Rhinolophus ferrumequinum: one gene and its partners. The protein of the gene in region 3 purifies or fractionates together with the protein of the main gene of each other region. This does not show direct contact. Links are inferred from orthologs where the notes say so. Each region holds a gene or a part of one and is shown on either strand. Other genes may lie near its edges.

Evidence for each region. Proteins that work in one complex are often made in the same cells at the same time.
Region 1: the proteins of RBBP7 (region 3) and SAP30L purify together in Homo sapiens (affinity purification with mass spectrometry; 3 studies listed by BioGRID and IntAct, counting the BioPlex papers as one, with this or other methods). This does not show direct contact. The link is inferred for Rhinolophus ferrumequinum from reciprocal best matches to the Homo sapiens genes RBBP7 and SAP30L.
Region 2: the proteins of RBBP7 (region 3) and BCL11A purify together in Homo sapiens (affinity purification with mass spectrometry; 4 studies listed by BioGRID and IntAct, counting the BioPlex papers as one, with this or other methods). This does not show direct contact. The link is inferred for Rhinolophus ferrumequinum from reciprocal best matches to the Homo sapiens genes RBBP7 and BCL11A.
Region 4: the proteins of RBBP7 (region 3) and ASF1A purify together in Homo sapiens (affinity purification with mass spectrometry; 5 studies listed by BioGRID and IntAct, counting the BioPlex papers as one, with this or other methods). This does not show direct contact. The link is inferred for Rhinolophus ferrumequinum from reciprocal best matches to the Homo sapiens genes RBBP7 and ASF1A.

What each region holds. Positions count from the first base shown.
Region 1 is NC_046307.1:25,425,635-25,433,561, forward strand, and holds the start of SAP30L (histone deacetylase complex subunit SAP30L), read left to right. Parts: upstream 1-4,909; 5' UTR 4,910-5,575; coding exon 5,576-5,773; intron 5,774-7,927.
Region 2 is NC_046296.1:28,338,341-28,345,386, forward strand, and holds the start of BCL11A (B-cell lymphoma/leukemia 11A), read left to right. Parts: upstream 1-4,028; 5' UTR 4,029-4,139; intron 4,140-4,716; exon of another isoform or gene 4,717-5,022; 5' UTR 5,023-5,152; coding exon 5,153-5,207; intron 5,208-7,046. UniProt on the Homo sapiens protein: Transcription factor. Associated with the BAF SWI/SNF chromatin remodeling complex. Binds to the 5'-TGACCA-3' sequence motif in regulatory regions of target genes, including a distal promoter of the HBG1 hemoglobin subunit gamma-1 gene.
Region 3 is NC_046284.1:113,990,589-113,997,841, reverse strand, and holds the start of RBBP7 (histone-binding protein RBBP7), read right to left. Parts: upstream 3,002-7,253; 5' UTR 2,798-3,001; coding exon 2,653-2,797; intron 2,370-2,652; coding exon 2,225-2,369; intron 1-2,224. UniProt on the Homo sapiens protein: Core histone-binding subunit that may target chromatin remodeling factors, histone acetyltransferases and histone deacetylases to their histone substrates in a manner that is regulated by nucleosomal DNA.
Region 4 is NC_046286.1:69,169,598-69,176,810, forward strand, and holds the start of ASF1A (histone chaperone ASF1A), read left to right. Parts: upstream 1-4,195; 5' UTR 4,196-4,580; coding exon 4,581-4,689; intron 4,690-7,213. UniProt on the Homo sapiens protein: Histone chaperone that facilitates histone deposition and histone exchange and removal during nucleosome assembly and disassembly.

The DNA.
Region 1 (7,927 bases), on a different chromosome or scaffold from region 3:
TCAAGCACCTTCCCAATCTTGGCTGTGCAGATGGATGTGGAGACTGCCTGTGTGGAAACTGAACAACTGGCAGATAAACAGGACCATCCTGCCATATTGCGATAGGATGTCTTCTTCCCTAACATGCAGAAATCTAAACAGTGGGAAGTTTAGGGTGTCAGCGTATAATGGATGAAATAACTACCACTTAGTGAGCACTTACTTTGTGCAAGACAACTGTGCTAAGTACTTTACATGATCACATTGGATACTCATCAGAGGCCTATAAGAGAAGTACTATTGTCCCATTTTACAGATGAAGAAAACTGAGGTTCATACAGTTAAGAAAGCTGTGAATGATCCTATAGCTAGTAAAGTGGCAGAGCTGGGATTCAAACCAAGTGCTTGAGTCCAGAGCCTTTGCTCTTATCCACAGTGCTAATAGCTACAATGCCTGTTAAGTGCCAGGCTGCAGACTAGGGTCAGAGCCAGAGGAAGCTCTCACGGGTCCTCAGTGGAAGGAGGAAAATAAAGACAATGTTGTAGGCTTTTCGTAAAGCTAAATTTATTCCACTTAAATGACTGTCCTTTATTCCTAGATTCTTCCTACATTTTTGGCATTCCACATTTCCTGCTTATTATTATAAGAGAAAATACAGGCATATAGTAAAATATCCAAACAGGAAACAAGGTCATAAAATTCAAATTCTCACTACCTTCCCTCCTTTGACATGCAGACCCCTCCATAAAAGCAACCACAAGTACTAGTTTCTCATGTGTCCCCAGTAGGTGTGTACAAAATTTGTAAGAAATGCAAGTGGAATTTACACTCCACATACTGCCTTGTATCTTTTTTTAACATAATCTTGATATAGTTGGGTATATTTAAATTAATTACTGAAAAAATGTTTAGAGTGCCTACTTGGTTAGCCACCAGAATCGGAGAACTAGTGTTGTATGCACTGGAGCTATAGCAGCACACAGGACAGACGTGGTCCCTGCCTTATTGGAGTTTACATTGTCATGGGAGAGACAGCCACGCAACAAAAATAATAATGAAATAGGCATATTACGATGAATGCTAATTTTAAAAAAAAAGACACTGAATAGAGAATAATGAGGGGCAGGGGTCGCGGAGATTGTCTGGGGGAGGTGACACTTATATTAAGACGTGAAGGATGGAGCTAGCCATAGGAGGAACAGGCCGACCGGCATTCCAGGCAGGGGGAGCTGCAAGTGCAAAGACCTCGAGGCAGGAAGAAGCTTGGCTTATGTGAAGAACTTAAGGAAGGATGACAGAGGCAGAGAGATGTTAGAATACACGGGGAAGCTGGCGAGGGGCCTTAAGGGGGGTGTGGCACGGTCTGGTTTGTGTAGATACTCCCTAGGGACCAGCTCAGAGGCCAATGAAGCATTTCAGGCAAAGGACAATGATGGCCTGGGCTGGGCTGCTGGCTGCAGGAAATGAGACAGACGGACAGATTCTGAATATCTAATGGAAGGGAAGTGCTTCAATGAGTTGACTTGGAGTATGGTGAGCGGAAGGGAGACGTAAAGGTGATACATGTTGCAGTTTATGGATTCAGGTGTCAGAGAAGGTTTTAACTTGTTCATGTTGGTCAGCAGTCCCTCAAGAGCATTCCAAGCAAAGAACTACATGTTGCTATCTGGAGCTCAGAGGAGAGGTCTCCCTTAGACTATACAGTTAGGAGTTATAGACCTGCAACTTTAAACATCTGGGGGTAGGTTAGGGGATAGAAAAGAATGTTACAGTTGCTGACTCAAGATGCCCATTTTAAAACCTAGCTTTTCTTTAAGGCTTTAAATTCAACTTATAAATCTTATTATTCCATTATAAATCTAGTAATTTTTCATATAAAAATAAGAATAATCACTTGTTCTTTGATGACTGTTGAATTAATTCTGAAGTTAGTAGATTTGATCCTCCTTAAACATTTGAGATTTACAGCATTAATTAATCAAATTTCCTTCAACATTTCAGACTACAGTTATAAATTTAATGTACCTGATTTTCTCAAACACTTTAAATGCCTAACAGGGCAGACTTACAAATCTAAAAAGCAAGATCGCTCTAAACATTTAAGCCAGTGTTGTAAATTAATTACCTAGACTTCTAAATGTAGCAAATCAAATTCTCTTGGCTATTTCAAGAATCTTGAATCCAACACAAAGCAGAACAAGGGTCACAGAAGCTTCTCTCCTGTATTCATTTCTTCATTATCTGAATGTTTGTTTCCTTTCTGGAGTTATAGGCTTATTCCCCCAGCAAAGGGATCAGAATTTTTTCCAAATATTGTTGTTTGGAACGAATCTACATAATAACCCGGGGAAAGCTTATGATAAAGCATTCCTTGAAGTCTACAAAATTGTCCATAAAGCATAGATTAAAAGCATGCGTCCCTGCTCCCCAAAAAAATATATAGATGCTGGGGGTATCAGTCTGGTACCAATGAAAAGATAGAAACCACACAATAATTTGAACAGGGAAAGATTAATATAAAGATGTATTAACCATAACGGGACTGTAGTAACAAGGTATTGCCTAGTGAGAAGAGAACTCTAAAGAATACAGGCATAGCAAATGGATGGAGCAGCCAGTACCCCCGGGGCTAAGACATAGTTCCTGAGGAACAGGCCTCCTGCCCCCACCCCACCCTGTCTGCCCCAGGAGTGGTACCAGGGGAAGCTGGTACTAAAGAAGCTGTGTGTAGTGCAATAGCCTGATGCTGGACGCAAATGCTGTTTGAAAAAAATAAGTACAAAATTTATGTGGGAAATGTAGAGCTCTTATCCTTGCCATTAAACTTTGGAACCAACATCCCACACTGCCTTGTACAGATGCCCAGCTGTTTTCTGTGTATATGTCTCAGCTTCCCTGCTAGAAGATATTCTCTTTTAAGGCAAGGATTATGTTTCATCCTCCTCCTGTGACCAATCCTGAAATGAGTACACACAGTATGCTCAATAATTTACTTTTGAATATATGAACTCTGAGGAAGGAATGCTATTAAACTGTGCCTTTTTTCCATTAATTTTTATTCTATTTTTTCCTACTTAAAAGCAATAAATATTGGAGAAAATGCAAAGGTAGAACAAAAGAAGAAAAATATCAACCATATTTCTACTCCCCAGAAATAACTACTATTATGTATTTCTTATGTACAAATAGTACATAAGAACTTTGATGTATTTCTTATGTACAAATAGTTTTTCTTTTTTCTTATTTTTTAAAACATAGATGTACATACATCATATCTCATATGTAATTTTATACCCTGCATTTTTAATTTAGCATAAATAAAGCATTTCTCCAACTCATCAACTCTTTGTTGAAGAGTCAGTGCTGGATTATTATATATAGAAAATGTTTATATTGATGTTGAAACTACTTTAAAAGTTGAAAACATCACAAGTGACTGCAAAATATCTCATTCTGAAGATGTTAGTTTATTTAACCACTTCCCTTGTGGATGTTTTAGGTTATTTTTCTATTATAAATAATCCCATAATGAACATTACGTTCAAAACTTTTTCTAGTAGGTCAGTTTCCTAAAATGGCTGTCCCACATGTGAAATTAGTAGGCTAGAGGGTGCAAGTACGTTTAAAGCCACTGAGGAAAATTTAAGATCACAGAACATCTGCTTCTAACCATGGAAACAGGTAGCTTGCCCTTTTCCAACAGCACACAAACCAGAAATCTCTCTTGAATGCCACGTAGTCCTACCAAAATTGGTACCTGTGCTCACCTAACACTCCCTGACCCGTCCATGCCCCTCACCTTAAGAAAAATGCTACCCAGCCCTAAATGATTGCATGACCTCATGACCCTGGGCTGGTCCCTTGGGGGTCTTTGGCTCTCATTTGTCCCCAAGCTGCCCAGTGGAGAGGTGCCCTGAATAAGTGTGCTAGACCAGAGGATTTCTCTGTCAGACTTTCTGAGTGTGTGTGACGTCCTAGGCATTGAACCCCAAGCTCAGGGGCTTGGCAGGGCAAGGTCACCTCGCGGGTGGACCAGGAGGCTTAAAGCAACAGAAGCTACAGCTTAACAGCGCACCAGAGTTCCAGGGAGGGCCCAACACACCGCAAGCTCTTCCAGTGTCTGCAAACCGAGATTGGCCCTTGGTCCTCCACCCCCCAGCCTTTTTTCCCTCTCCTCCGCAGCACCTCTTCCGTCCCCGCGGTTCACCTACGGTAGTTCACCCTTCAGACCTTATTCCGACGTCTGCTTCTTCTCAGCGGAGGGGTCACCCAAGTCCCTGGGGGTCTCCTTCCCTCCCTTCTCTTTCCGCAGGGTCCAAGTCAGTCCCAGTCTCCAGACTGGGGTCTCCGCCACCCTCAAGCATCCCACTACCTTGCAAAACTCGCCATCAAACTCCCATCATCTCCTCTCTACATCTTTCCATATATATACATGGGGTTGTTCTCTGTCTTTCCCGCCATGACTGGCTTTCTGTCCTGTTTCACCTACCCTGCCTCCCACGTCTGCAGGTCCTTTGGTCCTTGTCCTTCCGTTTTAACTGGTCTGTCTCTCTCACGACAGTACCTCTATCCCCTTTAGCCAACCCCCCCAAATATGTCCCTCTCCATGTCAGTCGTTCTGCGCCCCCGCCCATGTCTGTACTTCTGTCTGTCCCGAATATGATCCTCTGTTCCCGGAGTCTGGCCTTCCTTCCAGCCAGGCCCCGGGTCACCATCTCTCCCCGGGCAGGGAGAGTGCAGCCCGGTTCCCCTCCTTCAACCTGGGAACTCTTCCTTCTTCCACTTTCTCTACTTTGAACCCATCCCAGCAGAGTCCAGGAAGTAGCCAGGCGCCGGGGAATGGCGGCAATGGGGCCCAATGGGGAACGCCAGCGGCGGCGGCGACCCCGCCCAGAGAGCAAATGCGGCCAATAGGTGCACGGAGGCGGGACTTCCGCTGTCCCGCGGAGGGCGGGGGCAGCGAACTGTTGTGGTGCGGAGCATTGGGCGGGCGGCGGCCGGGCGGCCCAGGGGCTGCCGCGGGACTCCTGGCGCAGCCGAGGGGCTGCAGGGGTGGGGCGGGCCGGACACTCCGCGGGGCCCGGGCGCCGCGGGTTCGAGGCCGGGCCCCGCGCGGGGAGGCCGCGCCACCCCGAGGGAGCTGCCCGGCGGCGAGTTTGTCCAGCAGCCGAAAGAAGGCGGGAGCCAGCGGGGGCCCTCGAAACCCGCTGGCAACCCCGGCCTGAAGTCCCCGGGGAGCCGCCGCTTCCAGGGACGCCCTCCCGGACGCCCCTGCCGAAGGGTAACGGTTCTGGGCCCCCGGCAGAAGGCGCCTCCGGGTGACCCCCGGCGGGGCCCTGCGAGCCGCTGGAGTCAACCCCGGGGCCTCGAGCGGGGAGGAAGGGGCTTTCCAGAGACGCGGGCCGGAGCCAAAGGAGCCGGAGCGTGGCGGAGCGGAGCGGGCCCTCCGGGGCGCGGGGCAGTGCAGTGCCTTGTCTGGAGACGGACTCTGGGACCCTCGGGTCCGGGGGTCTCAGCGACCTGCCCCGCGGGGAGTACGGCCGCGGAGTGGCCTACAGGTGACCTCTTCCCGAGGGGCTGGCCCGGGGCGGGGAGATGAACGGCTTTAGCACCGAGGAGGACAGCCGCGAAGGGCCCCCTGCCGCCCCGGCCGCTGCCCCGGGCTACGGCCAGAGCTGCTGCCTCATCGAGGACGGCGAGCGCTGCGTCCGGCCCGCGGGCAACGCCTCCTTCAGCAAGAGGGTCCAGAAGAGCATCTCACAGAAGAAACTCAAGCTGGACATCGACAAGAGCGTGAGTGTCCCCACCCCCCCTCGGCCCCCACTGGGCTGCCTGCGGCTGCCCTCGGACTACCCGCGGGACTCCGGGGCCCTCCCCGCCCTGGGCCTCGCCACCCTTTATCTGCTAACTGAGTAGTTGGACTCGGGGTTTCTAAGGCCGCTTCAGCGCTGACGTGCTCTCCCCAGGATTCTGCCCAAATCCGGGAGGTTTGGGCAGGGGACTCCGAGGATCCTTCCTGCCTAGGAAGATTGACAACAGTTTTTAGCTCGTTTTATTGGTTTAGATATTGAAGCAGGGAGAGGGGGTTCCTTGTGTTGGCCTACGAAGAAGCAAGTATTGGGGAGGGGTGGTGAAGGGACCCGACACTTCTCCAACTTCTCCTCCACGGAACCCTGTTATTCCTTCAGAAAAGGAAAGGTGGCAGTTACTTCCCTGGCTGCCCGCGGCCTCGGCTTCTGCAGACGATCCCGGAGCTCTCTGCTTCGCAGGCAGCTGTGAGGAAATGGGATTTTCAAGGATGTGGCAGAAATCAGGCCAAGACCAGGTCTTGGGAGGTGGTTCTTGCAGTCGAAGACACTAGAAGGAAGAAAATCAAGGGGTAGCTTCCGTAGAAATGCGTGGGAGTTGGGGGGGGGGGGTTAATTTGAATAGACTTGCCCTGTGTTTTGTGCCTACCTATAGGAAAACTTTTCCTGTGTGATTTCACCTCTTCTAGTTAACAATTCTAAAGATGAACCTATTGTCAACCAATTGAGAACTTTTTAGTTTTGACATCTGTTGCTGCACGCTTTAGGTGCCTGCCTCACAATTAGGAACTGGAAATGAATTAAGGGGGTGTTTAATATTCAGATAGACCAGCTAGGAGCTTAGGTGGTTCACATCCATTCTCTCTCAGAAAATCTCTCCACTGGTGGGGGGAAATCAGAGATTGATTGTTAAACTGAAAGGAGTCCCACTTTTCCACTTGCCGAGTTTACAGTTGAAACTGAAGCCCAGATAGGGAGTGACAGTGCCAAAGTCACACAACACCTAAACGTCTGGTTAATTTCTTAAACCCATTATCTAATTTCCAAGCCCCATACATAAACTTTATTAAGTCTTTAATAAATACAAAATCTTTCTTGCCCTTTCTTCCAGGCTCTTCCCTCCCACCCCCAATTTTTTTTTAAGTTCATTATAATACATTTGCAACTCTTAAAAGATGCTATTTTTAAGTAGTTGGGGGCTCTCTTACTACAACTCTCGTATCAATGAATGAATGGATGGAATTTATCTGAAAGTAAACTGGCTAGACACTGAGGTGGTCCAGATGGGACATATGTTGAAGTGAAATGCTTCATTGTAAGACAGCAGTGAATTCATCTTCTTCAAAACATTGCCTACCTTCTGTGTAGGTTGTTGGGAGCCTTTCCTTGAGCAGCTTACAATAATAATATTATTCAGTCCTTAAAAAAAAAAGAAGTGTCCAGTTCTTTTAAACCGTTGGATGTCATCACATCTGAACGACTGCGCTGCTGCAATTGGGGCTCCATTTCCCTAGTGACCCCACTGGAAAACCTGTGTTGAGCTGTGTTGATTGTTTCCCACACACTGTGTAGAAGAGAGACAGCCTAAGCCTGGCACTAGCGTTCCCCAAAGGTAATGCTTCTGAAGGAGTAGGGTTTCGAGGTGGAATCACTCACAATTTGTTTCAAGGTGGTGGTGTAGAGCCATTTTTTCTGAGAGGGATTCTATTTCATTCTCACAGGCTTGGGCAGGAATTCAATTCTAAGTAAATGCTGTGTTACAAGAATTTTTAGCTGTTGTAGAAAAATGAAACAGGAAAAATAAACACTAGCGCCTTTGCTACCACCCTCCTTCCTCCTCCCCTCCCAAAGGCCACTGAGCTCTGAAATGTCTGAAAACCAGCATGTACTTGAAAATAGTTAGGTAGAAATGACTGTTTATCTCATAAGAGGGTCTAGCAGAGAACCTTTTTAAGTAATAGCACCAAAAATCCAACTGAGGCAGTTTACCTCATATTGTGTAGACATTGGCAGTGTTCTGGGATTTATTAAGATAACACGTCCCTCCAATGGAACATATTTTAGCTTTTTTCTGGAGAAAAGTGTAAGTTGAGAATAGAAGACAAATGTCGAGGGAGGAAAGGACATGCCAAGGGTTAGA
Region 2 (7,046 bases), on a different chromosome or scaffold from region 3:
TGCAGAAGATGTGGACACTGCCCCTCCAGGGGCCTCCTCAGGTCCCAGGCTCTGGATCACACTGGAAGTAGAGGAATAAGACATGTTATGTGTGTGGAGGGGTGGAGGGCTGGGAGTGGGTGTTTAGGAGCTTAGGGAGTCTGAGGAAAGAGGGGACTGTGGCCTTCTGCTCACCTTTCAATTTAGAGGTGCCTACACAAAGCCCATCCCCTTCCTCTCACACAACCCTCTTCCCTTCTCTTTTTTAATTAATATTTCCTTTGTCCTAAACAAAATCCTAGTACTCCTACCCTCAAGAACCCCAATGCAAAACCTATGCCTAATGTAGAATCTATACCTAAGTTTTATTTTTATGAGATGACTGCCCTTTCTCTATCTTCTAAACTGTCCTCTAGGAAAAAAAAAAGTGAAAAAGCAAGGTGGGATCGATTGCATTTTTAAACCATCATTCATTCAGTCATTCATTTATTTATCTTTAAGTTCATAAAGGTGGTTTCCCCCTAAAGGCAGACAGTGAATATTTTACATTAATCTTGTAGTTTCCTTCTAGACGGACCTTTAACCCTTCATTCTCTGGCTCAGCCCAAGTCCCCCGCGCCAGGCGATCCTCTGTACGAGGGCTGGGACTGTATTAAGTCTCCCTCTTCGAGCTGTTTGTTGACCACATTCACGTTCAGAGCCCTGGAGCTAAAAGCACTTTTACACCATAAAATAAAAGCAACTGTCTTTTTTTTCTAAAAGGTTACGTCTGGAGGCCACGCGCTCATACTTCATACCGAAAACTACTGAAAGGACTATGAAATCCTCTATGATTTACACTCTCTCACTGCATTAGAGTATAGATCTACTAGACTCTAAAAATACGGTGAGTTTCTAACCGACGTGAATATATGTGCATTATTTCAGAAAGTCTGTTAGAAAACTTGTCAACACATTATAAAGCATAAACCAGGACTTGGCTATTAAGTACGGAGATCAGAGGCAGAATATATACTGCGAGGAAGTCCTGGGGAGTCTCTCCTCCGCGGGCAAGATAAAAAGGGGGCGGAGGGGAGGGGAGGGGTCCTCGGTTGGCCTGGAGTTTACACGCAATGTCGTCACCAAAGGTTTGGGAAAAAGCCCACGGAGCGTAATTGCCCCCTCAGTGGAACCAGCAAAGGTTCTACAGCTCCAAATGAAGTTAACTGAACGGCCAAAAAATAATTTTAACGTTGTCATAATTTATTACTTTCTAAAAGCCACTTTTGGAAAGGTAAATATACTTATTGTGTATTCACGTGTGCGCGTTTAACGTGACCTTTCACCCCTCTACAAAACCACCTGCATCATTAATCAATACTTATGTAATATTTTTAAAGCTCTTAAAACAACACATTTTTATTTCTTTAAGCACACATAAAAACCCTTCCCCTCCCCCACTTTTGGGGCGCTTTAGCGAGCATCTAACCCCAATGAGGGAGGGGGGCGTCACTCCTAGGGACTAGCCCAAGGAACCCGGAGTGGGGGTCCACGACCAGGAGGGACCAAATGCCTATACACAGCCCTGGTTTTCTGGACTGGGTGAAATCAGGCTGGGGGAGGGGCGGGAGCGGAGGGCATTTCCTATTTCACTCAGGGGCATTTTATGATGGTGAAATGAAATATATGTTAATGGTGGAAACGTTGCTGCTTACCTCTGCATTGGCACCCAGGGAAAGCAGCTGCAAAACTGGGTTTTTAATGTATGTTTTAAGATGTGGTTTCGGAAGGAACCCCCTGGAATCTGAAACAAGTGCAATAACATAGCAGACCTACTTGTAACTAAGTGCTTAATTTCCTATGATTTTTTTAAAAAAGAAAATCAATAAAATGTTGCCAGTTATTTATTGGAAATAACCACAGATAGCGGCCCTGATAGGGTGCCAGTTTTAGAGAGCACACAATTGTGTAATGAATTGTAATTCAGAAGACTGTTAAATGTGAACCACAGAACCTTTCAGAGGTAATAAGTCATTACTTTTACACTACAGCCAACCCTGAAAAGCTTTATACATACCATTATATATAAATCATACATATATATTTCCACAACACACATTCGCCCATTTATACACCTTCTTTGTGTATGGACATTTATGGATGGATGGGGAAAATATTTAAATTTGCAAAACTCGGTTCCGAAAGAATCTGACTCACTATTGTTACCTGAAGGGGTTTTATTTTTCAATTTGTTTTCAAAGGCCTCCCAGTTGTACTTTCTTCTTCCCTTTGCTCACCTTCCCTCCAACCATTCTCCTCCAAGTCCCGCTGCCCAGCCCCCTCCCCCAACTCCGCAAAGACATTTTTTGGTCGCTTTAAGGCTAGTTTAACAAGACAAAAAAATAGACAGTAGTGGAAGAAAGAAGCTGACCTGGTCTGAAGAACTCATGACAAGGGGGAAATGGTGTAACGCACAAACGCACAATCTACAGAGCTTTACTGAAAGTGAAATCTTCCTGCTTCTTAAACGGGATTTGAGTCTCCCTCCTCCCCCAAGCTGGAGGAAACAACAAACCACATTTACACTAACTCAGTCCAGCTTAACATCTTTCCTAATGTTGAGCATCAAAACCTCCTTTTCTTCCTTAGAGGGGCCCGAAGCTTCACCGAGCTAGGCAAGCCAGTCATTTTCTAATAGGTTTGAAACTTTACTAAGACAACACATGAATAAACAGCCGCTTGCCGGCGCGACTGGGAAGTGGGTGCGCGATTGCAAGGCGGGGGCCCTTGCTTAAAACAATAAAGCCCCTGCTGGGTGGGCGAATTTATGAAAAAGACGGCCCTTAGACTGAAGAGGGGGAAGAGAACCACGAGGGGTTGTGGAAATCCTTGGAGCACAGGGGAGACTGCTTGCTCTGCAGATACACACTCACACACGTCCACCTGCAGCTTGGAGTCTCGCGGGCTGCGGCCACCTGCCTCCACCCTGCAAGCTTGCGCCTCCCTTGGACTTGAGTCCCTTTTCCACCTCCCCCCTGCCCTTCCGGATTTGCAATCGCAGCGCGGTCTCCGCGGCGGCAGCGGCGGCTGAAGCTACAGGGTGGCGCAGGCAGGCAGGGAGGCTGGGAGGCGGGAGACGCCGGGGACTTTGCAGGCACGTTTCTGAATAAACTTTCCAATCGCAGGGGGTGCTGTTGCTGTACATTTCACGTAAAACTGAAAGTATCCCACGCCAGAGTGAAGCCCGCTTTTTGACAGCGGCAGTGTGTGTGTGTGTGTGTGTGTGTGTGTGTGTGTGTGTGTGCGCGCGCGCGCGTGCGCGCGCGCATTAAAGAGACAGGGGTTTATTTCCAACAGGTCTTCCCTAATTTCCCGAGAACGTCTGCAGAAAGGCCAGACCGGGGCTGCCGTTTCCCAGCGTGTGCGCCTTGGCCAGGAGCGCTTGAGGAGCACGGCGCTGACCCCCGGCGGTCACCCCACCACATGGCCTCCCCGTAGCTCCAGCGAGACAGCCGTTCTCTTTGCATTCCCCATTTTCTCTCCCCGGGTAACAGCACAGGAATAGTTGTGCTCTGCCCGTAAGAAACATTTCTTTCTATTCCTCAGTGCTTTTGCAGTTGCTCGGGAATGGGAGGGGGTGTGTCCATCCCTGGGACCCGGCTCGGGGACCTCGCTCAATGCCGGGAGCACGTTCCCAGGGATTGGAATTACCGGGACTGCCGGTGCTTTGTCCTCTGGCCTGCGGCCGCTCGGTGAAGTGGACGCCTCGGCGCCTCCCTAGCCCAGGGCCCCGGCTCTCCCCTCCGGGGACCAAAACGTGCCCCCAGTCTGGCTCCGGGTTCTTTATTCCTCAGCCTCTCTCCGCCACCCTAGGGAGATTCGACTCAGTGCTTCTAGTTGCATCCAGACCCAATCGCTTGTGGGGGCGCGTAGAACCACAGCCCTTCCACCCCCAGTTTGGCCTTGGGGGCGCTCTCCCAGCCCTCCGACCCAGGCCTGCACCACTCTCCTCGCCCTTGCCCCTCTCTCCAGGCAGCCAGGGCTCCGGGAAGCCCGGGGGCTGCCCTTTCGGACCCGCCACCCTCCAAACTTGGGCTGGACTCTGTTTCGCCGCGCGCTCCCTCCCGTCTCCCCTCGCCCGCTGCGAAGCTGTAACTTGGAGGCTCAACTCTCAACTTCGGGTGATTTTTCTTTACGATCCTCTCCTTGGGCAAAGTTTCCCGACCGCAGCCGCCGGCTCAGGGCTTTCACTTGGGCCCCGGCGTCCGCACGCGGGGAGAGAGCGCAGCGGCAGTGGTGAGGGGAAGTGGGTGTGCGCACGGAGGAGGGTGTCCGGGAGCAACTCTACCTGGCTTCCCTCCGCCCGCGCTTCCTCGGCCCGGGGCTGCAGTCTCCCCGTACACGCCAGCTTTTTAATAAAAAAAAAAAAAATCTTTCATTTTTGGGGTGCGTGTGCTCGAGGAGGAGGGAGCGCGTCTTGCTGCCCCCAACCCCTGACCCCCCCCCCCGTCGCCCCTTTCTTCTTCCCGGGCCACGCCGCCGCTTCGGCGTTGGCTGCGGCCACTCGTGAGCCCGCGGCCCCAGCTCCCCCTCCCCTCCGCCTGCCCCTCCCCCGGGGGCCGCGTCTGGCATCTGCGGAGCCCCCCGCCCCGCACCTCCCCCGCCCCGCACTGGCCATTGGCTTGTCCTGGTCTCTTTTTCATGTCCAGCCCCTGATGTGTGTCCATTGGTGTGAGCTTCCCCTTCCCTCCTCCCCTCTCTCCTGCTCGCCCTGCCCATGTTTTGTGTGTCTCTGTCCATCCAGACTCCTGACGTTCAAGTTCGCAGGGACGTCACGTCCGCACTTGAACTTGCAGCTCAGGGGGGCTTTTGCCATTTTTTTCATCTCTCTCTCTCTCTCTCTCTCTCTCTCTCCCCCTCTATCTCTCCTCTCTCTCTCTCTCTCTCTCTCTCTCTCTCTCTTTTTTTTTTTGCTTAAAAAAAAAAAGCCATGACGGCTCTCCCACAATTCATCTTCCCTGCGCCATCTTTGTATTATTTCTAATTTATTTTGGATGTCAAAAGGCACTGATGAAGATATTTTCTCTGGAGTCTCCTTCTTTCTAACCCGGCTCTCCCGATGTGAACCGAGCCGTCGTCCGCCCGCCGCCGCCGCCGCCGCCGCCGCAGCCGCCCGCCCGCCCCGCAGCCCACCATGTCTCGCCGCAAGCAAGGCAAACCCCAGCACTTAAGCAAACGGGAATTCTCGCGTAAGTAACCCAATAATAGTAATAATAATTATTAATAATCACGAGAGTGCGCAGGACAGAAGCAAGAGCGAGGGGGGGAGAGGGGTGTGTGCATGCATTTTAAAATTTTTTCACGAGAAAAACCTCCGAGAGTCGGGATAAAAGAGATTAAAGGGAGGGGGAAAAAAAGCAAACCTCATTCCATCTCGAATCATAGCCGTATGTACTTTTGGGACAGCACGCACCTTTTAATTTTACAAAAATTTGACTCCTCCTCTTTCCTGCTTTCCGCTGCTTTATTTCGCTGTTCGAAAAGGAATGCAATGATTTCCCCTCTAATTTTGCAAAATAATGAACAATGCTATGTATGGATGCGAACAACTCTCTTGCAAACCTAGGGGAGGGAACTGGAGGATAAAGGGGGGTTGCTTCCACTCATCGAAGGAAGGAAAACGGGGTGGGGGGGGTAAGAGAACCCAAGCCTAAAAAACAATTCCCAGTGAGAAAAGAGGTGAGACTGGCCCTCGGACATCAGCGCGCTCACGGTCAAGTGTGCACCGGGAGGAAAGTAGTCATCTCCACAATAGTGAGAAAGTGGGATTGTGGGATGGGGCCCCCGGCGCTCTGGAGTCTGCGGAGTGTGGAGAGGGGCCGCGGCGGCTCGGAGAGCCGGGCGACCGGCAAGGACGGGAGACGCGGCCGGCGCTGCCGCCTTTTGTTCCGGCCCGAGGTGGGTGTTTGTCCCGCTGCCTTTTGTGCCGGCTTCTAGCGCTTGCCCTCCCGCGCCGCCGCCGCCGAAGGGCAGGAGCAAGGGCCGGGGGTGAGCAAGAAAGGGAGGGTGGGCGCGGGTGCCGCCACCGCCCGGGTTGTGGCTGCCCGCCACTCCCGGGAGAACCTCAGTGGCGGATAGAAGACGCGCAAAATTAAATCAAATTAAATTAAAAACTAAATATAACAAGGCAAGAGAATGTAAAATTTCTTGCCCCAAAACAGAAGCCAAACGCTCCGCGGGCAGTTTCTGCAACGCGCTCCTCTTTGACTCCCCCCCCACCGCAAAAATCTCACACTCTTTAAATAGGGGGGGGGGGAAATACAATTACCCCCTTCCCCAAAACCTCTTTAGTTGCAAACTTAGAGCGCCGGCGGCACGGAGAGGGAGCGAGGAACTCCCTCCTCTTACTATTTTTTGGAAGATTTTCAAAAAAAGTGGAAGTGGATTTTGATTGGGAAAAATCTCGTGTCTGAATGTTTACAAGCACCGCGTGTGCGGGAGCCTCCTGCCAACAAACAGACAGAGGACCGAGCGCGGCGCGGCAGCCCGGGAACGGGTGGCTGCCGCGGCCGGGCCTCGCTGGGGCCTCGCCGGGCCTTGCCGCGCCCCCGCCCTTCCCGAGATTGCCCACCCGGCGCCCGGCGCCCGCCCGCCGGCACTGCTGGCAGGCCGCGCCGCAACTCTGCGCCAGCGGGGTCCACGGTTCTCTCGCCCCCAGCACAATACCCAAACCTTCTCTCGGCCAACCCGACTGCGAAATCCGCTGGGGAGAAACGCGGCTTTGCAAAACATTTTCATTTTGCGAAGCAACTGAAAAATCGAGTTTTGCGACCCCCCCCCCCCCCCGTCTCTTGTCCACAGCTCGGGACGGCGGGGAGGTCACCACGTGCTTTCCCTGCCCTCCTCCCACCCAGTCTGGTTACCAGCCCCTCGGCTCCGGGAGCACTGACACGCGGCGGCGCGGGGGGGGGGAAGGGTGTTGGGGGGTGGTCAGGAGAGTAATATATTCGAGTACGCGTTTTGGGAGTGCTGAATCTCGGGATTCCGTGCACCTCACCCTTGAGTTCTTTCCCTTTACCCCTGGTCTG
Region 3 (7,253 bases):
TCACTCTATGCACTTTCGTACCATCTGAATTTGAATGACTGCAAAGCTTTTTAGGTAGAGATTAAATTAGTCTCAATACATTTAAGAAATTATTTAATAAGGTAATATAAAATAATGATCTACCAGTTTTGAAAAGTAATTTAAGAAACACCTAAATAATTTAAAAAGCCAAATCAATTATGTGGACAATTACCTAACTCAATTTAAGGACAACAGCTCAGAAAGTGCAAGTAATCATTCAGAAGAAGGTTGTATGTAGGCAGAAGGCCTTGTGAGGTTGAGTAGGGTCGAGTTCCTCAAAGACCCAAGCCGTAACAGCAGCCAACATTTCTACTGCTCTGTATAGTGACAAAACACAATCACAGTCCCTTTATACCCCAAAAAGAACCCTGCAAAGCACACACAGCAATCCTCAACATCCAAGAATGCAGGCTGGCTGGCATTTTCTTGCATTCCCAGAGCCACTGCACGTCCCACAACCAGATCCCACTTCTTTGCATGCAAAGAACACCATGGAATACATAATTTACTTACAGTATTTTCTGCTAAGTTCTTAAGTGTTCATATAAAAGCAATACCTGGACTGAAAACATACAGATCTATTATCTTTAAAAAAATCTTTATGCAAAACACATTATAGGTACCATTTTAAAGACTTCAGTAAGCAGCTTTCATTGAAATCCAAATGGAGAAACAGTGTTACTGCATCCTCTCTAACAAATTATTTCTGAATAGGAGTCAGCACCAGTCACTGCTGTGTACTTACCCTGCACCAGCACTTTAACATGCATGATCTTATGTAATTCCCTCAAATGTAAGCAGTCAGTACAATCAGCACCTCCATTAACAGACCAGACAAGTCAGGGATAGAGACTGACCAACTCGCTCTAAATTCACAAAGCTACTAAAAAGGGGGAGGATTCAAGCTCAGGTCTCTAACCTTAAAGCCCTCACTCTTTGCTATTGTTATAGTCAGTCAAAAAGCTCCAAGAGAATGTAAATTAAGAGAATGTAAATCCGCTTAATAGGAAGACTCAAAGAGTCAAATGCACAGGAGTACCCTTAAGTAACTGATGCTCAAAGTTATTTTAAATGTCAACGTTTAGAAGTCTCCATTATTTAGTTCTTGGCTACTCTTCCCACATCTATATTTTTACCCTGAGATTTCTTTGGGAACTTAAAAGGAAGCCCCTAACTGTATGGAAGTCAATGTTCATATATGGAGAATCTGGCCATTATGAGTAATTTTATATAAAATTAACTTACTCTATTTTTGTAACTTGTTGCAAAATCCCGTTCTAGATTAGAGTTTGATTAATCCTCATTAAATTATATGCACACAATACCCAAGTTTAATACGCTTCTAAAGTGCACGGTCAAGTTCCTACAAGAAAAAGTCCAAATGTATGAGGAAGGTTGTCTAGTGCAGGGACTACCTGAACTCTGGGGCTACCTTTTAGATTTGAAAGCCCCTCTCCACCATTTGCCATCTGTGCGATCTTAGGCATGTTACTTAACATCAGTAAAACAAGGATGATAAAAAGTAATCAAAGTACTTATTCTCAATACTAAACCAAACAACAGAAGGTAAAAAACTGTAGATGTGCCAGGCCCTGTTCTAAGTGCTCAATAAATGTCAGCAATTATTACCAGAGAAATTTTAGAAATAGCTGAAAACAAAACACGCTTATGAAGACCAACAGCAACCTCAAAGTGTATTTCATACTGTAAGCCAGTAATGTCACTTTTTTTTTTTTTGAACTGTTGCTAAATTCTTTTCCCCTTTGCTAATTAAAACGTATGCATCTTGGGGGCTGGTTATATGGGTGTGTTCACTTTGTAAAAATTCATCAAGCCACATGCTTATGATTTGTGCACTCTTCTGTACATTTATTTTTCAACAAAGTTTGAAAGAAATCCATTCATCTGGGCCCAGAGAGATGCTGTTTCATATTTAAGCCCAAGAAATGTTAAATATATCTGGTGCTTCCAGCAAATATCATTAATCTCACAACAGATTCTTTCTCCCACTTCAACGCCACACTTATACATCAGAAATCATCCCATAAACCGCTTGTTAGTTTTGAAAATAAAAAATCACCTGCCACCTCATCCAAGGGCTAAATTGATTACATGCTTATGTTCTACATAGAAAATGCCAAAAGTAGGAAATTCAGGCCAACAGTGAAATTTGTGCAAAATAAAAGTTGCCAGGAACCCTTACTTAGTCACTTCAGGAAGCCACTGAACGGTAAGACTTGGCCACTGAAGAGCATGGGTCATAACCAGGTCATACAGAAACGGTGTATTCTTCTTCCAGATTTTATATTCTTCATTGATGACACGCTCCTCCACAGTATCTTCAAACACTGAAATTTGGAGAAAGCCCATACGATTAAAGGGTTGAGAGGGATCGAAGTCAAAACCTGTACACAGATACTGGAGGTCACCTCGAGAAGGCCACACCTAATCTACTCTTTCTCTTTACCTCTAATTTGGACTCGAACAACTAACTGCTCTTCCAGAACATGGAGAGAATATTAATACCAGGAAGCTGATTTTTTGCACTTTGAGATCAATATCGCCTGCGTATACAGAACTGGGTAATTACACGGACGTCGAAATTGTTTTGCCGATTACAGCCGTTCGCACCTGTTCTAAGATGACGACCCGTTCGTAGAGGGGCTCCACGACCCACCCAGGGAGACGAATCCACGTGTAGCAGAAAGCCACCGACCCGCTCCCTCCATCCCCCACAAGAGGCCTCCGCTCCCACAAAGCCGGCTTCGGCAGCCATAGACCGGCGGGTTCCAGAATTCCCCGGACAAGGGCCGCGACCCCGAGGCGTCGACGCGCGCGTGGAAAGAGCCGCCGTGCCCGCTTTCCGGCGGCGAAGGCCGCCTCCGCTCGGGGGCCGAGGGCGACGGAGGGAGCGCCGCCGCCGGAGGGGGGGGCAAAAGGGGGGAAGGGGGCCCAACCCGCGGCCCCGCGCCCGACTCCGGAAGTGCTCAGAGCCCTCCGCTCCGCGCCGCGTCCCGCGTAGGCCCCTGGAGGCGCTCGCCCAGCCTCGCGCCCGGCCCCGCCCCCTGCTCCGCACGCCAATTCGCGCCTTTCGCCGGCGCGTGCCGCGGCCTCGCGAGCCCGCCGCCCCCCGCGGCCCCGGCGCGCGCCGCCCCGCAGGGCCTCTTACTCTCTTTACTCGCCATCTTGCGTCGGGTTGTTCGCCCCTCGCCGCCGCCTCGGACTCCCCTCGCTTGCCAAGAGCAGCCCAACTGCAGGCGCTCCTGCCTTTCCCAGGCGCGCCACACGCTTCTAGTTCTCGAAGCCTGAGCTCTGTCTCACGGCCTGGGTGCTCCCCAGACGCCGAGTCCTTCTCTCCCGCCTCCTCCCCGCTTACGGGTACCGAGGACTGAGGAGCTCTTCTCTCTCTCTCTCTCTCCAAACTTGGAACGAGACTTTTCAACCCGCGCCTCCCAGCCCGCCCAGGCAGCTGAGCGCAGGCGCACCCGTCCTGGGAAAAGTAAGAGGCGGTAGAGAGGCGGGGTTGAGAGCAGACGGCATCGTCGTCTCGACCAATGACGTTTGATAGGTAGGTTTCACGCGGCGTTTGGAGGCGGGCTTCTGAGGGTAGGCGGGGCGTTCCGCCACAGGAAGTTGGCGAGGCGCAGGCGCGAGGACTCGCCCTGCGCTCCCAGGGCCGGGCGTGGGGGCGGATGGGGGCGCGCGGGGGTGGGGCGACTGGAGGCGAGGCTTGCAGGCTGCGCGGGGGCTGCGAGCCCAGGAGGCGAGCCCTGAGGCCGCGGGGCGTGGTTGCTTGCAGCGGCCGCGGCGGTGGGGGTGGAAGGGGGGCAGGGAGGCTGCCACCGCTTAGCCAAGCAAAATCTCAGAGCGAGAGAAGAAAATGGTTTCTAGTCTCGAGAGATTACTGTGCCCTCAAAGTCTCCCCGATAATCATGGGCATGCAATTCTGTGCACCCCGAAAGGTTTCCCTCCTGCCGACTGGCCTTTCCTGAGGCCTGGGCGAGCCTAGGTGGGGTTTGTCGGAGGCAAAGGGGACTTTTTGCAGAGGCCGCGGGCGTTTTGTGAGTGCAGAAGACGGCGGGCCTCCCTGTTAGGTTAAACCTGTGGCAGGCCGCCAAAGGCCCAAAGCTGACTTGAATTACATTTTCGTTTGTTCACACGTTTGGGTCCTTCAGACGATGATTTGCAGCCTCTCTTGTATTCAGAGGATTTTGTCTCTGCACTGGAGTTATTGTCTCCTTCCCAGCCCCGGGCCCCTGCTGAGTCATTCTTAGCACCTGCGGGGTGTCCCAGGGCAAACCCACCCGAAGCTGGCCGGGGAAAGCTGCGCGAAACTAACCTGGGCTGGCTTTCCTGAGCCCTCCTCTGCCTGGGAGCTTGGTAGCCCCTGAGGAGTGCGTTGGGGTGAGGAGAAAGCGGGCTGCAAGGCTAAAAGGGCCCGGGGCAGAGGGGACGGGGTAGGAGGAGGTGGTCGTGGTGCTACGTGCAAAGGGAACAATAGTCTATATCCAGACTCCGAGAGAGGCTCTCCCTGCATAAGCATCTCGCGGAACATTTGCTGCCTTGATATTTTCCAAGTGCCTTCATGCAAGTCACCATGGTGATTTTCAAACGAAATCGTGCATTTGCCGCTGTGATGCCCACTTTTCTGATCGGGAAACAAACCCAGACGTTAAACCTAGTCGGTGGCAGAACCACTCATATTACCTTATATAGAAATTTACTGTCGGGTGTCTTTGGTTTCCTATACGATATGCCTTCATGTCAGGCCCAGGAATCTTAAAAGACCAAAGCCGAGGAGGGGAGGCGCTGGAGAGGGAAGACAGTTGGGAGGGTGTTTAAACAATACAGCCATGCTCATGTTTTAGGATACTCGTTGGCAAACGTTTCTCTAACCAGATCGTATTTCAGGCTTTGGGGGCAACCACTCAACGGCCGCGTTGTAGCGAGAAAGCAGCCCTGGATAACATGGGTGAACCTGGCTGTATTCCAATAAAACTTTATAGACACTGAAATTTGAACTTTATGTAGTTTTCATGTGTCACAAAATATTCTTTTGAATTTTTTCAACCACTTGAAAATGGAAAAATTTTTGGCTTATGGACCATACAAAAACAGGCAGAGGGTTCAATTTAGTCGGAGGACTGTAGTTTGCCCACCTTGTTCTGGAATAATTGTGTCTTACAGCTGTACTTCAGTGGGTACCTCCTCACGTGCACAGCAAGAGAAGGCTTGGCAGACGATTTGATTTCCAGTCTCCCTTTAATATATTTTACTTATTTCTGATGGGTGAGCATGATTTCCAAACCTTATGAAATGTTTAAAGAGTTGAAAAATTTTACCAGACGATGTTGCTTTAAAATCTTTGTACTGTTCAGTTCACTGAGGGTCAGAGAAGGGAGTATGAAGCAGATACTTAGGAGTTTCTGAAAATATGCAGGCACTATCATATACTTAATCCAAAAGTATCATGTACAGCATATTGCATTAGCTGTGTGTGTGTGTGTGTAATCTATCAATTCTGTTTCTCTAAATTTTTTTTGGTCTTTTTTCCAGTCAGGTACCTTTTTTGCATCAAAAATGTAATACCAGTTTTCTCTTTTAAATTGTTTTAACTGTTCAGTTTTGTTTTTTGCCTTTCACCCCGACTTCTTAGCTCTGGTCCTCCTCTTTTCTCCCACTTTCTCTGTGGTTGCCTTTTTGTCTCACTTGCACTCAGCTTAGTCTACTCGTCGAGTAAGGCACCAATAGGTACATGCACAAGGTGTGGGCTACCTTAACTGAGAGAGGCCCTATTTAGGCACCTACCTTTCTCTAAGACTGCTTACCTCAAAGTTGCTGTAGTGTTAACCATCATTTCTCCATGCTGATGGTGTTTTACAGACTAGTACACTTTTATATAAACTGAAACAAGTTACACCAAACAGTGCTGACCTTTAATATGTGTGATGCACGCTGGTATTTTATTTCATTTTTTAAATATGCAAGTTACCCTTTACATTAATTTTGTGATCGCACTTAGTCACAACTTGGAGTTTGAAAAACACAGGACGCTAGGATAATTTTGAAACCTCTAGCTAGTTGCCTGAACACCCTTTATAAAATAGTAGCACTCCCTCATCTTGCCCCCACAGGTAATCACTCTCTGTCCCCTTTATGTTTTTTTCTCATAGCACTTATCATAACCTGACACATGTTTGTTCATAGGCTTTCCTCCTACACGAGAATGTAAATTGATGGCAGGATCTTTGTTTTGTTGTATTCCCGGCACCTGGGCCAGTGTTTACTAGATGAGGAAGCTCAGGCAGAGAGTGGTGAAATTTCTTGCCAAGGTCACATAGCTAGTGAGTGTTGGAGTTGGAATTTGAATTCAATCGGTCTTATATTAAGACAGCAAAAGTGATTGTGTTAGAATGAACTGCTTACCAAAAGGAATGAGAGAGGGAATATCCCCAAACATGGCTGCCCAGTGATTCTGTGTTCATTAGCATCCCTGTCTCACTAGTTTTTGGAGAAAATCTTAGCCATTCAGAAATATTTTTGAAGTACCTACTGTGTGCCAACTGGTGTTCTGGAGATACCTGGAATGAACAAGACATATAGAGCACCTGCTCTTTTATACATTCCTTTATCATTTGATTTTCTTATTGCAAACCAAAGCTCATTACAGAAAATCTGAAAATTACACAAGCAAAAGAGGAGCATAATGAAAACCAATTTTGTTTCTGGCCAAATCATTTTCATTCAAATCATTAGCAGCAGCAGAAAATACACAAACACATTAATAGCCATTGTCTCTTGGTTACCGGTATTATTGTGGATGATGGTTGTTTTATTCATATGTTGCTTTATTTAAAAATTTTCTCCAGTGGACAGGCATTACTCTTATAAACAGAAAAACCCCCATACATTTTAGGAAAAAATGTATAAACGAATGGTAGAAGAGTAATGCAGACAAATGAAAAGTGTTGTCTTAGTGTGATAGAATGCTAAGTAATTTCTCTTAAAATATTGTTTAATGCAGTTGTGTGAGAGAGAGCTGAAGGAAAATTATTGTAAAGTAAAAACTCACTGTACTTGTTTGAACCTATACTTTGTTTTCATTTACTATTGTGATATTTAAGTAAAGTGAAGTAATTGTTTTGTACTTCTAAGTGTGTTAATATTTAATCTTTGTAGGGTGTCCCTCTGGATTTCTGAAAGGCCAACTTACCCTGTTGTGTTAGCTGCTA
Region 4 (7,213 bases), on a different chromosome or scaffold from region 3:
TTTCACACAACAAATGCTCTCTCTATATACAATGAGTTATTATTAAGATCATTACTGTAGCATTTATTCCTTCTAGAAATGGTTATAAACTCTAGCAAATCTCGACACTGTACTTTTAAATATAAAATTTCAGTTAAAACTATCATTAAATTTTGACATCCTGTAACTAATAATAATAGGAAGCCCTTTAAGTTTAATTAAAGATATTACAACAATCCTTAAATAAAATTTTTGTAAAAAAGATTTGGCTTGTAACAATGCAAGTGTTTCTTTAAAGAGAATTCAACAGTGATGATGTAATTAACACAGGTGGACTCTAGGATTTGAACCAAGGCAAGAAGTTAGCACTTTCATTCCTGTAACTTCTGCAGCAGGCAGGGACTGAGACTTGATTTCTTAGCTCTACTACATTTTAACTCAGTGTATTTTAACTTAATCCAATTTAAATCTAGTACATTTTAATTCATTCTGCCATCTTGCTTTGTGTGTGATTTCAATTTAACTTCTAGTTTAAGACTCTCAGAAGCCCTCTGTAGAGGAGCTTGGGATCACAGAAGCAAGCCGCGTCTTGTCTCTTCAGAATTTAAGCTGCATGCCCAGCAGTAGCGGGGCCTACCTCATTCATGGAAGACCAGCTACAGCACACCACTCCACACCCTACTGGCATGGCTAAATGACCACCTCATTTCACACCACAGAAAGTACTTGATAACTGACCAATAATTGGATGAAATAAATTTAGGTTATAAGTAAGCCTAATTCTGAAGGGGAAAAAAAATTATAGCTGTATTAGTTTGCTAGGGCTACCGTAACAAAATATCACACTGGCGGCTTAAACAACAGAAATGCATTTTCTCAAAGTTCTAGAGGCTAGAAGTACAACTGTATTTCCCCGAAAATAAGACTGGGTCTTATATTAATTTTTGCTCCAAAAGACGCATTACGGCGTATTTTCAGGGGATGTCTTATTTTTTCATGTACAACAATCTACATTTATTCAAATACAGTCATGTCATCTTCTCCTGGAACATCGTCTTAACATACTAAATGCGGCCGACTGCCTGACAATCTTAACTGGGGCTTATTTTCAGGGAAACACGATCAAGGTATCAGCAGGGTTGGTTTCTTTTCAGGCCTAGCTCCTTGGCTTGCAAATGGCCGCCTTCCTGCTGTGTCCTCACATGGTCTTTCCTCTGCGCATGTGTACCCTTTATATGTTCAAATTTCCTCGATGTAGAAGGGTACCATTTACAGACTGGATTAGGGCCTCTATGGGACTAAATGTTAACTTTACCTCTTTAAAGGCCCTATCGCAAAATATAGTCACATTCTGAGGTACTGGGTGTTAATACTTCAAAATATGAATTTGGGAGGGGGATACAATTTGGCCTGTAACAAGAGCTAACAAAGTTCATTTATTTGTGTCCTAGGCACTAATTTAGGCTTTGTTCATCTTAAGAGACAAAACAACCTCTTCCAGCCATCCTTCCCTCAAGTAATCTGCACAGAAAGAAGCAATTTGGGTGTTACATTCAATGTAGCTCTCCACACATCATGTGGGCCCCCTTGGGTACTTAATACATGACAACATTCATAGTGACTTACCTGTTGCAAATATGGTTAGCTGTTTGAGAGTCACCAAAAAATTGTTCAGAAAGATTTTATAGATTGCCTCTGAAAGCAGAATGATGCTTTTACAATTCCCCCCCTACAACATGCCAGGTAATTTAGAAATATGCCAGGGCACATCTGGGAGTCTCTTTGGTCTTTCCTGTATTGCCAATGGTGAGAAAACTATTGGACAGAGAGCTCAAAAATTCTTTGACATTTGTTTTTTTAAAGATTTTATTGGGGAAGGGGAACAAGACTTTATTGGGGAACTGTGTACTTCCAGGACTTTTTTCCAAGTCAAGTTGTCCTTTCAATCTTAATTGTGGAGGGTGCCGTTCAGCTTCAAGTTGTTGTCCTTTCAGTCTTAGTTGTGGAGGGCGCAGCTCAGCTCCAGGTCCAGTTGCCATTTCTAGTTTCAGGGGGCACAGCCCACCATCCCTTGCGGGAGTCGAACCGGCAATCTTGTGGTTGAGAGGACGCGCTCCAACCAATTGAGCCATCCAGGAGTGAGCTCAGCTCAAGGGGCCATGTTCAATCTTAGTTGCAGGGGGCGCTGACCACCATCCCTCGCAGGAGTCGAGGAATTGAACTGGCAACCTTGTGGTTGAGAGCCCACTGGCCCATGTGGGAATCGAACTGGCAGCCTTCGGAGTTAGGAGCATGGAGCTCTAACCGCCTGAGCCACCGGGCCGGCCCCCAGTTCAACATTTTTGAAGAGCAGTAATAAAACAGCTAAGACAGGAGAGGCAATATGAGAGGACTGGGGCCAATTCCTGTGGCTTCCAGTCAACTATTAGGGAGGTTTTTCCTTCCACTTTCAATAGTGCTGTATATGACACGTTAAAAGATTTCAAAGAAAACAACCCATATCCTGTTAGATATTCTCAGTTCTTGATGTTGCATGTTCACCAAAAGCAAGTTTTATGGTAGATGTACCTTATTATCACACAACTATGGTCAGACTGCAAAATGCATTTTATTTTATATAAAATAATCAGAAAACTACACACACCATTCTTAAGGGAGTCATGTTTTAATTTTCAGTCATTTATCTTATATATTTAGTGCGCTGTATAGCATACAGCAATTTACAATTTATCATAGCGAGCGTTAGGACCCGAACTAATAAGAGTGAACACAGAATAGTTTATTAGTCATTGTAATCTGTGCCTCTCACCACAGTATGACTCATATGCTAATGCACACAAACAACTGGGCTTGAGGAAACCATTTCTAGTAGGTCCTATTTGACTGCATTGACGATAAAATGGGACCCACACTCTAAATAGTTCTCCTAAAGGTGGGAAGGCCTGGTATTAGCTGTCCCATATTAACTTTCAAGAGACTATCAGATGAAGAAGTCTCATCAAAAGCAACCTACTTAAGTATGAACAATGCCCAAACAATGACAACTCAAAATTCTGGGCACTATACTAAGAGAAAACTCTTCCAGCATAGGTGATACTTAAGAATTTTCTCTCTGAAATTAGCCAACTTAAGTGGTTTCAGTCACAACACTTAAGGAAAAAACGATGGTTTATGAAAAGCAGGTAATAACACAAACCTTTATGCCACTCTTACTTAGAGATTCAAACAGTTCAATCTCACAAATGTGTTAAAAGCTCTCCCTTTCTCCACAATGGTAGTCAAGCAGCATAAATGAATCGACATTGAATAAAGCAAAGGCTCCCAGAAGTTGTGTGAAGTGCTACAAATTCTTATTTACTAACAGTTTAGGTCATACATTTTTTGAAAATTACATGTCTTTGGTATGCCTTTGTGTTCTCTACTCTCCTTTTCCCTTCTCAGATTGTATTTGTTGCTCTTTGGTCGCCCGATACTTCCATTTTCTCCTTTTATGTTCCTGTTACTCACACCAAACGGCAGCAACCAGGGGTGTAACTGATCACATCTCTAGTATAATCTTTTTCTTATTCTAGGACTTTCCAGATAGGAAAGGAAGACCCAGTTGCAGCCCAAATACTATTTATTCCGATTTTCCAAGCAAAGTGTGTGCGCAAAAGCGTCTCTTCGCCTTTCATTTTGTTTCCATTTAACTAATACCGCTGTTGTGCCCAAACGCAGATACCGGGTTAAGAGCTAGCTTTCCAAAATGGCTTTGCTCCTTTCGAGATGGCATTGGTCTACAAAACGCAATTTATTTCCACTGCAACCAACCCTTCTCTCTACCCGAAATATTACCCAACACACAGACAGCTGAACCTAGTGTAGACAACCGAATCACATCTGCTAAATTCAGTAGAGAGCCGGTATAGCCGTTGGACTATTGTAAAAAGAGTGAAAAACACACAAAAAAAACCCCGAGGGGCGGGCGTCACACAAGATCCCGTCCCCCCGCCGCCGTTGCAGCCGCGAGCACGCCTCCCCTCCATGGCCACGCCCCTCGCCGCCACGGCCGTGCCCACGCCCATCGCCAACCCCCGCCCCGCCGCGGCCACGCCCGACGTGAGGCGCGGGAGCCGCCGGGCCGGGGGCGGGGCCTGCACCCTCCCCCCAACCCCCCTCACCCCCCCCGCCGGCGGCGGCCTCCGCGCGGGCCTCCCAACCCATATTCCACTCACTTTGTTCTCTGCCTTTGTCCTAATCCACACCAGCAGGTGGAGCCGCAGTTAAAGTTTCCGAGTCCATTCAGGGAGCGGGAGCCCATCTTGCTCGCCGCCAAGGCCCTCGGTGGAGGAGGAGGGTCAGAGCTCGGGTGCAGCCAATCGCGAGCAACGCTGCTAGTTATCAGAGCAGAATGGGCTGTAGTTTAGTGAAATAGGAAAGCTGCAAAACACTGTGGAGTGTTCCCGTGTAAATAAAAAGAGGAAAAAAAAGTTTCTCAAGTCGCCGCTGCACTACGTCGGGCCGGCGCCGCGGCGGGGGTCTGCGCTCTCCCGGGCGGCCGCGCGCTGGACTTGATTGTGCCGCAACAAGCCCCCGTTCCCATTGTTTGTTTTTTTCAAAATATGGCAAAGGTTCAGGTGAACAATGTAGTGGTGCTGGATAACCCTTCTCCTTTCTACAACCCATTCCAGTTCGAGATCACCTTCGAGTGCATCGAGGACCTGTCTGAAGGTGAGTCGGGCGCCCGCCCGTCGCCGGGCTGTCAGTTGCGGGCTGCAGACGTTGAAAGTTTCCCGGGCCCGGCCTCGCGCGGGCGGCCGGTGCTCGGCGCCGGGCGGGCTGCGGGCTCCGGGCTTGGCTCTGCGGAGGGAAACTTGAAGTTGATGGACGACGGCACCGAGGCGCGCGAGGCGTTCAGCCGCAGCCCGGGCGCCTGCCGCGGCTCAACTTGCTAGGAACTTGTTCCAGCAGAGGTAGCCATGTTGTCAGCTTTGTCTGGTGGACCGGCGGCTCGCGAGACCCGCACTCCCGCCGGCGGAGCCGACCGGGGGTCGCGGCGGGCTGGCCCCGCGCCGCGAACGGCCTCCACGGTCCCCGCGGGAAGGCTGGGAAGGGGTAAGCATGTGTGTGGTCGCGCCGGCGAGTTAGCAGCGGAGCCATCTTACCCAGAGTAAAGAAGTGGGCCACCGACCCCGGCGTCACGACGCCTCCTCTCCGCGGGTGACGAACACGGCGCCCCGCCTGCCCACCTTCCGGCCCCCGAGTGGAAAGGCAAATCCATCTTTAGGGCTTACGCTGGAGTCCCCGCACTCTCTTGGGTGGCCATTCCCGGCCGCTTTGGGGAGGAGAGCGAGGCTGTCTTCGCGCTGATTTCTGGCTCCCTCGACCAACCAGTAGGGGAGGCGGGCGCAGGCTCGGCGCCGCGGGCCGGGCGCCGGCGCTCCCCGGGGGCCGTGGGTGCTCCCTGGCCGGCGCCCGGGATGCCCGGAGCGCCCGGGATGCTCGCGCGCAGGCTCGCCTCGAACAACGTGGACTCCTTTCCTTTAATGACTGAAATCTTCTCTCTCTCTCAGGAACAAAAATACTGTTAAGCTAGAAAGTTACATTTAACCCAAGAGTAGAAATAAGGAAAATACTTAATTACCAGGACTTAATTACTGGCTTCTAAATCTGAAAGAACACTTTCTTCACGAACGTATTGAAATCTAATTAAAATAACTCCACATCCAAACATCCTGAACATAAAACACAAAAGTGGGCTAGGAGATAAAAGGTAAAGTCCTAATGGCAATGCAAAAAATTTTACTATTTTTTCTAAGTATGTTTTAAGGTCTTAAAGAAGATAGTTTTAATATGTGCAGTAATAAATATTTAGAAAAGTAAAATTTGCCAAGGTCTAATCTTTGCGATTTTATTAAAAATAATCCAGTGCTTCATTTTGGAAATTTGAGGGGGAAAACGTTTAACTTCAGTGGTAATTTTACAACTAAATAGAGGACATAACTTCTTTGAACTTAGAAATCTATTTAGCAAAGTTCATTTTAAATTATTGTGCTAATTAAGTCATGTAAGGCATTTCACTATGAAAATTAGTTTTTAATCTGTAAGAAGTATCTTACGTAGGGTGTTAATTTTTTAAATTATAAAAATACGCGCTCATTGAAATAAACTTTTAAAAAGTTGTACACACATATATAAAGTAACAGTCCTCTGTACTCAGTGCCTTCCCCATCTCACTCCTGTATAAGTAACCATAATTAACACTTTAATCTGTGCTCCTCTATAAAGTTTAAATGCGCATATGAAGCACATAGCACATATACTGGGGTGCCAAAAAAATGTATACAATGACTCTGGTCAATATTGCTCAAGCAGTAGTTCCGGTAATCAGAAGTGTCTGGATGCTGATGGTAACCACGTTGAGCACCTCGTAATTGCTGAAGTCCAACGTGACTTGTGTTCACCTTTTGTTATGGGTATACATTATTACAATTTTAATAGTTTTTTTCCTTTCTTAAAATGTGGATACATTTTTTTTGGCACCCTCTGTATATATACCTTGTAGTGCACATTTTGGAAGATGATTCACTTGTTAAAATAATTTCTAAATAGGCCATTGATAATAAAAATTAAAGGGGATTTTTCTTGTTACTCTGAAACCATTTGGTTCCTTTCTACTAGTATTACTATAAACATTTCAGCTACCAGGACCATTTTTTTATACCCAAGTCTGTAATTTTTCCATTTTATTGTCAATTGGATATAAAAATGGGTAAATACAAGAAAAATTATTGATCAATCCATTCCAACACTACAGTGTTTTAGGCATTAGAAGGTCTTCAAATTTCAGGTATTTCTCAAGTGATGCTTTCCATGATAGGAGCCAATTCTGAAGGATGTTACAGGGCTTTGACATTGGATGGTTGAAACCTGCCATTCATAGAAGCAGCACTATGTTCCATTTTTAACTGGAATCAATTCATAACCCAGCTGAATCACCTCAGAATTTTTACAATAACGAATGTCAAGAAAACACTTACTTCCAATTGTATACTTCACTTCCCAGGGCACCTAGACTGGGCAATTATTTAGTATTTTTTTAGAGTTTAAGCTGAGTCATACCAAAGCTGCAAAGGAATCTTTCAAAAAGGTGCCATGTTTGTGTACTCCACCTAGAGGCTGTGTGAATTAAGGAAATTGAGTTAGCAAAGGCTTCTTAGAGGTTCCATACTTTTACACTATTGCAGTTCTTTTA